3 linked regions of the Sus scrofa genome follow. The protein of the gene in region 1 interacts with the protein of each later gene in a pairwise test. Links are inferred from orthologs where the notes say so. Each region holds a gene or a part of one and is shown in the gene's direction. Other genes may lie near its edges. The genes, in order: RETREG3, STAP1 and MAP1LC3A.

Evidence for each region.
Region 2: the proteins of RETREG3 (region 1) and STAP1 interact in binary tests that used the Homo sapiens proteins (3 or more experiments, as listed by UniProt). The two-hybrid records come from large-scale screens. The link is inferred for Sus scrofa from reciprocal best matches to the Homo sapiens genes RETREG3 and STAP1.
Region 3: the proteins of RETREG3 (region 1) and MAP1LC3A interact in binary tests that used the Homo sapiens proteins (3 or more experiments, as listed by UniProt). The link is inferred for Sus scrofa from reciprocal best matches to the Homo sapiens genes RETREG3 and MAP1LC3A.

The regions. Positions count from the first base shown.
Region 1 is NC_010454.4:20,219,743-20,223,491, forward strand, and holds the start of RETREG3 (protein FAM134C), read left to right. Parts: upstream 1-1,250; 5' UTR 1,251-1,361; coding exon 1,362-1,600; intron 1,601-3,749. UniProt on the Homo sapiens protein: Endoplasmic reticulum (ER)-anchored autophagy regulator which exists in an inactive state under basal conditions but is activated following cellular stress.
Region 2 is NC_010450.4:65,317,911-65,321,659, forward strand, and holds the start of STAP1 (signal-transducing adaptor protein 1), read left to right. Parts: upstream 1-950; 5' UTR 951-1,176; intron 1,177-2,683; exon of another isoform or gene 2,684-3,389; intron 3,390-3,749. UniProt on the Homo sapiens protein: In BCR signaling, appears to function as a docking protein acting downstream of TEC and participates in a positive feedback loop by increasing the activity of TEC.
Region 3 is NC_010459.5:37,956,951-37,960,060, forward strand, and holds MAP1LC3A (microtubule-associated proteins 1A/1B light chain 3A), read left to right. Parts: upstream 1-879; 5' UTR 880-1,031; coding exon 1,032-1,071; intron 1,072-1,394; coding exon 1,395-1,450; intron 1,451-1,536; coding exon 1,537-1,643; intron 1,644-1,950; coding exon 1,951-2,113; 3' UTR 2,114-2,555; downstream 2,556-3,110. Other genes in the region: PIGU (phosphatidylinositol glycan anchor biosynthesis class U protein precursor), read right to left, coding at 3,074-3,110. UniProt on the Homo sapiens protein: Ubiquitin-like modifier involved in formation of autophagosomal vacuoles (autophagosomes). While LC3s are involved in elongation of the phagophore membrane, the GABARAP/GATE-16 subfamily is essential for a later stage in autophagosome maturation.

The DNA.
Region 1 (3,749 bases):
AAGAATTTTTCTTAGCTCATGTCTCTCTCTTTCTACACTCTTACATCCTCCATCTGGCTTCATCTCTCTCTAGGAAATCATAAAAATGGGGTTCTTCTGCCAGGGAGTAACAGCAAATGACCTGGGAGAATCCGCTGGCCCAGTTGTTGCCAGCTCCTCCTCCATGCTCCGACAGGTAGATGTTCTCTGGGTTGTAGAGCTTGGCATAGGGGGAATTGAGGATGGAGTGGATCACCCGCGGCTCCAGGTCCAGCAGCACCGCCCTGGGGATGTAGTGCTCATCATCCGCCTGTCAAGGGGAGTCCAGGAGGGGGCACAGTCAGCTCGGCCCGCCCAGTCTTCCAGTCCTCCCAACTCTGGCTCCTGCTCGCCCTCCCTCCTCAAGCCAGCCGCCCTGGCCACTCTGTTCAACGGGTTTCCTAGTACCAAGCCACTGCCCTTCCCTTCGGGCCCCCTGGGCCACTGCCAGCCCTGGTCAAGTTGCTGGGGGCACCTGGTAGAAGAAGACGTCCTTGCGGTCAGTGCCCTCGGTGGCGAACTCCTCCACGATGCCCTCGGGGCTGATGCCATGCTCGGCGCACAGTTGTTTCCAGAACTCGAACCCAACTGGGGGTGGGGGCATAGGCAGGCGGGGGAGAAAGAGGATATCTGGTTCTGGGCAGGTTCCAACGAGAAGCTGGGGGCCTGAGCGCCTGGGACCAGGGATAGGAGGTCAATCCTCGGGGGTATCCCGTGTCAGAGGACAGGGCTATATGTCAGGGACCCCGCAGGGGAGGGCCTTTCGGGGTTGGGCAACTGGGCACTGGGTCAGGCATGTCCCGCCTTCGGAGAACTACGATTCTGGGAAGGGCAGATGGAGTCCAGGATCTCAGAGCGAGATACCATAGAGAATAAAAAACCTGGCTAGTGGAAGGACCGGAAGTTCGCTCACTCTGATTGCCGCACTGGCCCAACTGTAGGGTGATGATCTCCCTCGGCATCGCTCCTCAGGCGCGGGCCTTGCAGCAGCTCCCGCCAGCAAAGCCGCCACTCGCTAGCCCGCTAGCAGCACGACGCAGGCGCCAAAACAACCTGCTCCGCCCACGAACTCTCTCGGTTCCAATGAGAAGTGAGTTCTGGTGATGGCACTTCCTTATTCATTCGGCCTCAGTCTTGCAGATTGCGCGTGCGCGGCTCCGGATTGGTGCACTCGGGACGTACTTTGACGCAGTTTGCTTCCCACTGGGTGGACGCGAGCTAGAGCCTAGGCGCAGGCGCAGTGTTGAGGGAAGCGGCCTCCCCAGCCGAATCGCGCACCTGCGCAGTCGGCGTTATTGTGACTGTCGGGCCGTGGCCCCGGATGTTGTGGCTGCCGGGGGGAGATGGCGGAGGCAGAGGGGGTAGTTGTGGCCCCAGGCCCTGCTTCGGGGCAGAGTTCCAGAGGCCGCCGCACTATGTCGGGCTCCTGCGAGCGGGACCAGCAGGTTGAGGCGGCGCAGCGGGCCCTGGTGGAGGTGCTGGGGCCTTACGAGCCTCTGCTGAACCGGGTGCAGGCAGCCCTGGTGTGGGAGCGGCCAGCCAGGAGCGCCCTGTGGTGCCTGGGGCTGAACGCGGCTTTCTGGTGAGAGAACTGGATCCTCGGAAACCCTTCGAGGCGCGAAATCATCAGGTTTCTCTAGGGCTTTATCTCTCACCTCTCCTGTTTCTTCGCTGCACTGACTCCTTCCTGTACCTGCCTGATTTCTGCCTCAACTCCTTCCACTCCGTCCCGCGTGCGGCTTTGGCACCGCAGTTCTCCCCAGAGCCTTCCAGTGACCAGGAGCTTCTAGTAACCTCTTGAGCCGCTCGCAGTGAGTGAGGGCGCCTCGTTTTAGCCAGGGGAAAACTGTGTTCCTTTAAGGCCATCATTTCTCTTCTCTTGTTTGCTCAAAGGTGCTTTGAAGATTGTCTCCAGAGATTTTAGTAGTTATTATTTGGATAGATGTGTGAGGCGTGAGATCTTCAGCGTGAGATCTTCAGAAGGTATGCATAGGTGTGATGCGAAAACAAGTTTGAGCAATCTGAATTAGCATGTTAGACACCCTTTCTCTCACTCGGGGAAGTTTGTGAAGCCTGAGCGTCAGTAAGAGCCTCCATAGCTGCAACGTGAGAGAGAATTATGAGCCTTTAAAGAACAGTTATAGAAATAATGATTGTGAGATTTCACTCATTTCAAAGCCACTTATGATGGCCACTCCTCCCTGTTCCGAGGAATTAGAGAGGCATCCTTAGCCACAGTATATAGGCAGGGAAATTGAGGGTGTCTAAGAGTGTATGTGAGTTTTCCTGAGCTGGAAAAGTGGGGATGTAAATATGCTTTAAGAATCTGTATGTGTCATGCTCAGTGAAAATGGAACTGCTGCTTCTCTGAATTGTCATCACCTAAAATGGACTTTGATCTTCATAGGGTCTGCCAAGCATATTTTGGATTTATCCATAACTAGGGAAGTATTATTGATCAAATTCCAAGGAAACTGCAGTGGAGGGGGGCTTCTACAGCTGAATGAAATAGAGCTGTTCTGGATGAGCGTGAAACAGTAAAGTGTGTATTTCCAAATTCTTTTTTGTTTTTGCTAAAAGTAGCTTTCCTCTTGAAATTCTTGGTTTTAAAACCAAAACATTTATTATCCTTTGTCTGAAAGATTCACAGTAGGCTGGAGGAAAGCAAATAGTCCCAAGTTCATTGACAGCAAGACGCAGTATTGAGCTATTACATTAAACTCACAGTTTGAAGGGGTCTGAGGTTAAAGGTGTCACAGCAGTCTCTGGCATTAGTTGCTTCTAGAGTCTTGCTCAAACTTGATGAACTCTTCCTACAGCATTCAGTTATTTTTGGTAACGCTTCTTTCTTGATCTTCAGGTACCTACTCCTGAACCCCGTCACTATAGCACCTCATTCTAGAGCATCTTTCAAAATGACCTTTTCTTCTCATCTCCCTATCCCAACCGCTAACCTCAGACCATATAGTGAAAACTTCATTTCCTACATTGGGATCGTACTCCTAGGAAAAAAGGTTGATCTTCAGTAAACCAGTTTGTCTCAAAATGTGACTGATTGATAAACAAAAGCTTTATCAGGATTTAAATGAATCCTGATAAACCAAGAGCTTATTAATGCAGATAGGTCAGTAGCATACATGTTGTTATTTTTGAGGAGAGGACTTTCCACCCTTGCCTGAGAGAGATTTTCAGAGTAGAGTGTGGGGTTGAGATCTGCACATAGGAGCCCCCAGACACATCTTTAAATGTTACTGTTACCTTTAATTTGCTGGCCTCCAATAGTATTCACTTGAGTTTACTAATAGGCTATGTTTAGAATCTCACTCAGATCCACTTTTTCTACTCTCTCTTGAAGCTGTTGTTGTGGTTGGTCTTTATCTCTGGCATTTCCTGGTAGCTTGCCTGCTGTGTATACGGAAAGCAGTTATTCTTGTTACATTCCCATCCGGCTCTAAGCAGGTGGGGGAGAAATGCAGCAAAATGAGGGTGTGACTCCTGAGAGTTGAAGAGCAATTGTGTATGTCATTTGTGGAGAGGACTCACCTGTGAAGGGGACAGAATGATTGGCAGTGTTAAGAACCCAGAGGCTAGGGTAGTTTAGCATTGGAGTTCACAGGATTGTTTGTTTTAGGAAATGAGGTTCTGTGGAAGGTAGTTTGAGGTTCAAAATAGAAGTTAGACTTCAGTTTCCAGTAGCATCAAATTGGATATGGGGCTTGATGTTTTGCTTA
Region 2 (3,749 bases), on another chromosome or scaffold:
TGGTTCTGGTGTATGCCAGCAGCTGTAGCTCTGATTAGATCCCTAGCCTGGAAACCTCCATATGCCACAGGTGCACCCCTAAAAAGACAAAAGGACAAAAAAAAAGAGCTTCAAGAGCTGAGCAAATAGATTTTTTTAACTTGTAATGCTTTAACAAATGTCATCGCCTACTCAGTTTTTTTTTTTTTTTTTTTTTTTAGGGAAGAGGGATTAAAAGTTAACTTTGAAATCAGGCAACCCTGGCTTCCACTCTACTCCACTAATATAAAGGGCAGGTTAATTAAACTATAACTTTCTCGATTCTCTTGTTTTTAAAAGGGGAATAACATTAAAGTTGTTGAGATATGGATTAATTCCTTTTAAGACCTAGTAGAAATGCCTAGAACATAGCAAGAATTCAATAAATAATGCTATGAGTGTTATTATGGAGATTTTTAGACTTGACCTAGTAGAAGTTTTGTAAACTGTGCTACATTATATAATTTGGTCTCAGATTTGGAATAGATAACACACACTACCATTTATTGAGCACATAGTGTACAGCAAGTTCTACCCTAAATACTCTCCATGCAGTAACCTATTTAATTTTTAGAACATTCCTATGAGAAAACATTTTATAGACAACAGAACTGGGACAGACTGTAAGTAACTTGCCCAAGATCACACCCCCATTAAATGACAGAGCTGGGGGTGAACCCCTGGATTCTGACTCCAGAACTGAGCACTAAATCACTGTACTCTTTTTACCTTTCCATGAGAACTTTTAGCAAGTGCAATCACAGAAGTAAAGTTCCATATGTACAATCATCTTCCCTCCATTACTGGAAATAGTAATTCTCAGAGGCATTTTGAGGAACCTGAAATGTGATGACATATACTGGTATGCAATGCAGGGGGTGTTGGCAATGAACTGGTTTGTTCTAGGGAGAAAATGGAGCAGCACCCTTATGAAAACAAAAAGTTACGGAGAGTCCGCATCACCCCAAATTTTCAGTGCTCTCTGCATCTGTCGTAATACTTCATAGCTCCACCACATTTTTGGCATCCTAAAATAAGGTTGCTAGTTGATGGAGTAATGTTTATAAAACCCAGACTTTGTCCTTACAGATCCCTTTACATCCAAAATACATCAAGATCAATCTTAATGAACTGCTATGACAGTTGACTTGCACCTAGGTAAGTGGTATGTGTGTGTTTATGTATTTATGAATTATGTGTATTAGTGTGTATATGGAGGAAAAGGTATACAGAAATTTAACTTGAAAAAGAAGTAGAAACTTTTAGTTATTTATGATTTTATGTTGTAGATAATTTCAAATTTGTGATTAGTAAAATTCTATTAAAGAACATTTTATTTTATTTTATTTTTTAAATTAATTTAATTTTATTTTTTAAATTAATTTTATTTATTTATTTATTTTGTGTGTGTGTGTGTGTGTGTGTGTGTGTGCTTTTGCCATTTCTTGGGCCACTCCCGCAGCACATGGAGGTTTCCAGGCTAGGGGTCGAATCATAGCTGCAGCTGCCGGCCTATGCCAGAGCCACAGCAACAAGGGATCCGCCGGATCCTTAACCCACTGACAGGAACTCCTCTATTAAAGAACATTTTAGACCTTACCATGACATTTCAAAAATCAGTCTGGGGGTTCCTGTCATGGCACAGTGGTTAACGAATCCGACTAGGAACCATGAGGTTTTGGGTTTGATCCCTGGCCTAGGTCAGTGGGTTAAGGATCCTCCATTGCCGTGAACTGCGGTGTAGGCCGCAGACAAGGCTCACATCCAGAGCTGCTGTGGCTCTGGCGTAGGCCAGTGGCTACAGCTCTGATTAGGCCCCTAGCCTGGAAACCTCCATATGCCTCGAATGCGGCCCCAGAAAAGACAAAAAGACAAAAAAATAAAAAATAAATAAAAAATCAATCTGTAGAGTTTCCTTGTGACTCAGCAGGTTAAGAATCCAGCATTATCACTGCAGTGGTTTGGGTCACTTAGTGGCATGGGTTCCACCCCTGGCCCAGGAACATTTACATGCCCTGAGCGCAGCCAAAAATAAATAAATAAATAAATAAATAAATTTGTTCTAGAGATTATAACATAGCTGCAGTCACAACTTAAAGTTTGCTTTATTTCTAATTGACTTAATCTGGCAATATGTCCATCAACTGGTGAATGAATAAATAAGTCATAGTGGGCCCACACTATGGAATACTCCTCAGCAACAAAAACAAATTACTGACACACAACAACACAGATGAACCTCAAAAGTTTCATCTGAAAGAAGCCAGACATCAAAGGCTATCTGCTGTAGCAGTGCACGTATGTGACTACATAAAACTGTAAGAACAGAAAGAGATATTGTTTACCAGGGCATGAGGCCAGATGAGGAAGAAGATATTGACTCCAAAGAGCCAGGAGGGAACTTTTTGCAGTGATGGAAATAATTTATGCCTTGATGATGATGGTGGTTATATGACTCCATGTATTTGTCAAAACTCTTAGAACTGTGCCCCTAAAAAAAGGGTGACCTTTGCTGTAAATTATACCTCAATAAACTTGACTTGAGAAATTAAGAGCAAGAGAGGGAAACACATAAACCAAATGCAATGTGTGAATTTTGACCAGAGTCTGGTTCAGATCAAAGAAGCTATATGGGTTGGGTAATTTGCTCTAGGAAACCAGCACCATGGTGTCCAGCTGCAAGATTGGCTATCCACCCTCAAAAGCAACCTGGCCAGTTTAGGAGCCAAATGCCCTGGATTGCTGGACTCTGGGGCCAGTTATCTGCACCTGGAGGTAATGGACAGGATTTTGTTCCCAGCATCACCTTTGGTCACACTGTGGTGCAAAGCTCTGATACAAAGCTCTGAAGGCATCTTGGCCAGGACCATTTCTCTGACATGCACATGATGGTATCCAGGCCAGAACACTGGGTAAAGCCAATGGCTGTAGCAGGCACCAGTCAATACATGTTTCATCTTGAGTCTACTGAGGACCTTGGGGCTTTGATTAAAGACATTCAGGAGAATGGAAGGAAGGTTGGCCTTGCTACCAAACCAGGAACTACACTTGAGTATTTCGCACCTTGGTTATGACAGTGGAACCTGGGTTTGGAGGGCAGAAATTCATGGAAGATATGATGGCAAAGTTTCACTTTGAGGACCCAATTCCTGTCTTCGGACATAGCGGTTGATGAGGAAGTAGGTCCTGACACCACCCATAAGTGAGCTGAGGCAGGAGCTAAAATGACGGTGTCTGGCTGAGCCATAGTGAGGAGTGAAGACCCCAGATCTATGATCAACCTGTTAAGAAAGCTTTGCTCAGCAGGTAAACAGCTCAACATAGTATTCGAGAGGACTCAGGTTCATCTCTGGCCTCATTCAGTGAGTTAAGGATTCAGTGTTGATACAAGGTTCAGCAAAGTTTGCAGATATGTCTCAGATCCAGTGTTTCTGTGGCTATGGTGTAGGCTGGCAGCTGCAGCTCCGACTCGACCCCTAGCCTGGAAACTTCCATACGCCATAGGTGTGGCCCTAGGAAGGAAGGAAAATTTGTTCAGAAGCTGCTCAGAAACATGCTCTCCACTAATGAAACCTCTAGGAGTCCCAGGTTTCTGCTCATGAGATCTTTTTACTGGAAAATAAAAATACTGACTACCAAATCATACTACAATGAAGGCAGTGATGCTTTTCTGAGGAATATTCATTCCTATGACTAAAATATACAGAAGAATTCTCTTGTGGCACAGCATG
Region 3 (3,110 bases), on another chromosome or scaffold:
TTCACTACAGAGTGTCTAGATGAGTTTTTATTTATTCTGTTCTGGATGTTATATGAGGATCCTGGTTTTTAATCAATTTTGGAAGTTTTTCTCCAGAGCTTCACGGTCTTTTCTCTCCTTCTGGAATGCTAATTAGACCTGTGAATTCTCACTTTGCCATTTCTGTCACTTATTTTATACCATGTAAACATGGTTTGTTTTCCAGGTAATTGCTTCTGCTCTCTCATCCACTTCAGTGATTTTCTTTTTTGCTATATCTAACAGGGCTTGCTTGCCTCGTCCTTCTGAGACCTGAATTTCAGTAGCTGTTTTTCAATTCTAGAAATTCCTTCTAAAACCTCTAGGTTCCTTTTCAGTGTCTTGCTGTCTTCATGTTTTAATGCTCACCCAACCCCCCACAATGACCACTACCTTTTTCTTTCTCTAACCATATGCTCCAGGATGAAGACTTCTGGTTCACTGTTGTCATCCCCAATGCCTCATACGGTCCCTGGAACAGAAAAGACTCTGAGCGAGGGCTGTCTGACGCCTTGGTTACAGTGGAAACAGAAGGATGCTATGCCGCAGCCTGGCCAGCTCTCCCCACCGCCAGACCAGCCAGCCTGCTCCCTGGCCTTGCTGGCGTCCATTCTCCCCTCACCCTGGGCCTGGGGGAGCCCACCTCGCCTGCCCCTGCACAGGCCGTGACGTCACAGGACTGTGACGCTCACTGGGCGCCTCCCCTCCTTCGCAGTGTGGGGTTGGGGGTGGGGGCGGGAATGCAGGCTCCCTGCGCCGTGATGTCACGGGCCCGGGCGGGCAGATTTTGCGTCGGCCCAATGGGAACGGCGCGCTGGCCTCCCCTTTAAGGAATGTTATGACCTGACGTCACCCGGGCGAGTTACCTCCCCGAGCCGCCGCCGCTGGGCTCAGCGCGAGCCCCAGAGCCCTTGAGCGGGAGACGCGGAGCCCCCGGAGCCCCCAAACCACAGCCACCTCCCCGCCTCGCGCGACCGGGAGCCCCGGCCTGCGCGCTCCGCCGGGCCTGTGCGATGCCCTCAGACCGGCCTTTCAAGCAGCGGCGGAGCTTCGGTGAGGCCCGACTGGCGATCTGCGAGCGCTAGGGGTGGGGGCGTGGGGGGGTCGGGGGTGTTGGCAGATCTACTTGTCTGCCGCAGGTGACGTCAGCTTCATGACGTCAAGCTCGGGTTGGACCCCTGGGCTGGGAAGCAGGCTAGGGCCTGGGCCCGGGCCTCCGCCTCCCATCCCAGTGCTGTGCCCCGGCCCTGGCCCTACCTCCACCCGCCTGGGGCTTGGCGGGGGGCGGGGCGGGGTCGGGGGCCGCCCCTCGGGGACTAGTGGGGCGGAACCCAAGGAGAACCTCGGCTGGCCTCATCCCCGACTGCTGTCTGCAGCCGACCGCCGTAAGGAGGTGCAGCAGATCCGCGACCAGCACCCTAGCAAGATCCCGGTGAGTCCTACCGCATACCCCGCCCCCGTCCCCTGGCCCCAGGTCCAGCCTCCCGCTCACGCGTCCCCGCCCCACCTCACTCCCAGGTGATCATCGAGCGCTACAAGGGTGAGAAGCAGCTGCCAGTCCTGGACAAGACCAAGTTCCTGGTCCCAGACCATGTCAACATGAGCGAGTTGGTCAAGATCATCCGGTGCGCTGGCAGCAGCTGTCAGGAGGGGGACTTGGGTCCTGCTGGGATCAGGCATTGGTCTGGGTCCTTCTGAGAAGGAAGGGGTGGGGGTGGGACATGGGACGGGGTGCCGAAGCCCTCTTCTGGGGAGGTTGGGAACGGTCAAGGTCAGGCCTGGGATCAGTATCTTGTCAGAGGTGAGAGCTTCTAGAAGGGGCTGGGATGGGTGTGAGGGGGAGAATCAAAGTCAGGGTGGGTAGGGGGTGAGGGCTACACTCACCCAGCGGCCAGGCCCCTCACGTTTGGCTTGCCCTCCCGCCCACCTCAGGCGCCGCCTGCAGCTGAACCCCACGCAGGCCTTCTTCCTGCTGGTGAACCAGCACAGCATGGTGAGCGTGTCCACGCCCATCGCGGACATCTATGAGCAGGAGAAGGATGAGGATGGCTTCCTCTACATGGTCTACGCCTCCCAGGAAACCTTCGGCTTCTGAGCCAGCAGTAGGGGGTGTTGGCTGGGAGTCGGGGGCCCTGTCAGGCTCTGCCCAGGGAGCTCCTGGCACTGGAACTAAGCTGTCTCTGCCCCTGCCCCTGGTGGGTTGGACAGGGATGCTGCCACCCAGCCAGAGGGCACCTATCACCCCTACTCTGCCCCTGGATGGATTCTGGCCCAGTCATATTAGGGTTGCCCCTCCGGGTGCTGGCTGGGAGGGGGAAGAGTGGGAAGCAGCCCCCAGCACCCCTGCCCTGTGTGGTTTGTCTTTTTTTTAGACCCCTGCCTGTCTGCCCACCTGTCCCTCCCCAACCTGAGGCGCTGCCCATGCCTGGATCTGCCCACCCCTGAAGGACTGGGTCCTGGCTCACCTGGTCTTGACATGGTGTATGGCTCTGTGGTCATTGTCCCTTTGCAGAATAAAGATTGCTCAGGCCTGCCTGGCCCTTTGCCTCCAGCTGCTTGGGGAGTGGGGAGGGCTGTGGGTGGGGCTGCCCCCACCGTTGTCCTCTCACTGGTGCACAGACTTGTGTGCTGTGGACTCAGGGCTCATTCAGGAAACCCACGCCTGTGTATAGTGCATCGTGGGGGTACTAGAGGCCAAGCCCACCTCTTCCACGAGGGCAGCATGGTTCCAGGTAGACGTTTTCATAACAAAAGAAACATTTATTAAGTAGCCACAGCCTAACAAACCCTGCTCACCTGCTTCTTCCCCTTTCCTGCTTGGGAGGGGCTCCTGGTGTGCAGAGCCACACAGTGGGGGCCAGGTGGAGACTCCTGGCTCCGCCCCACAGGCCTTGCTGCCAGCCTTGGCTCCTCACTGGTGCCAGATATTCATGACCCTGGACTCAAACCTCATCTGCCCCAGGGCTTGCCTGCTGGCAACGCTGGCTAGAGGGCTTGGCCCAGCTTCTGGGCCTTTCGCCCCCTGAGGTCCGTGCAGCCCTGTGCCCAGCCAGGCCTACTTGAGCACAAGCATGGCCTCCGTGCCGTCCTTG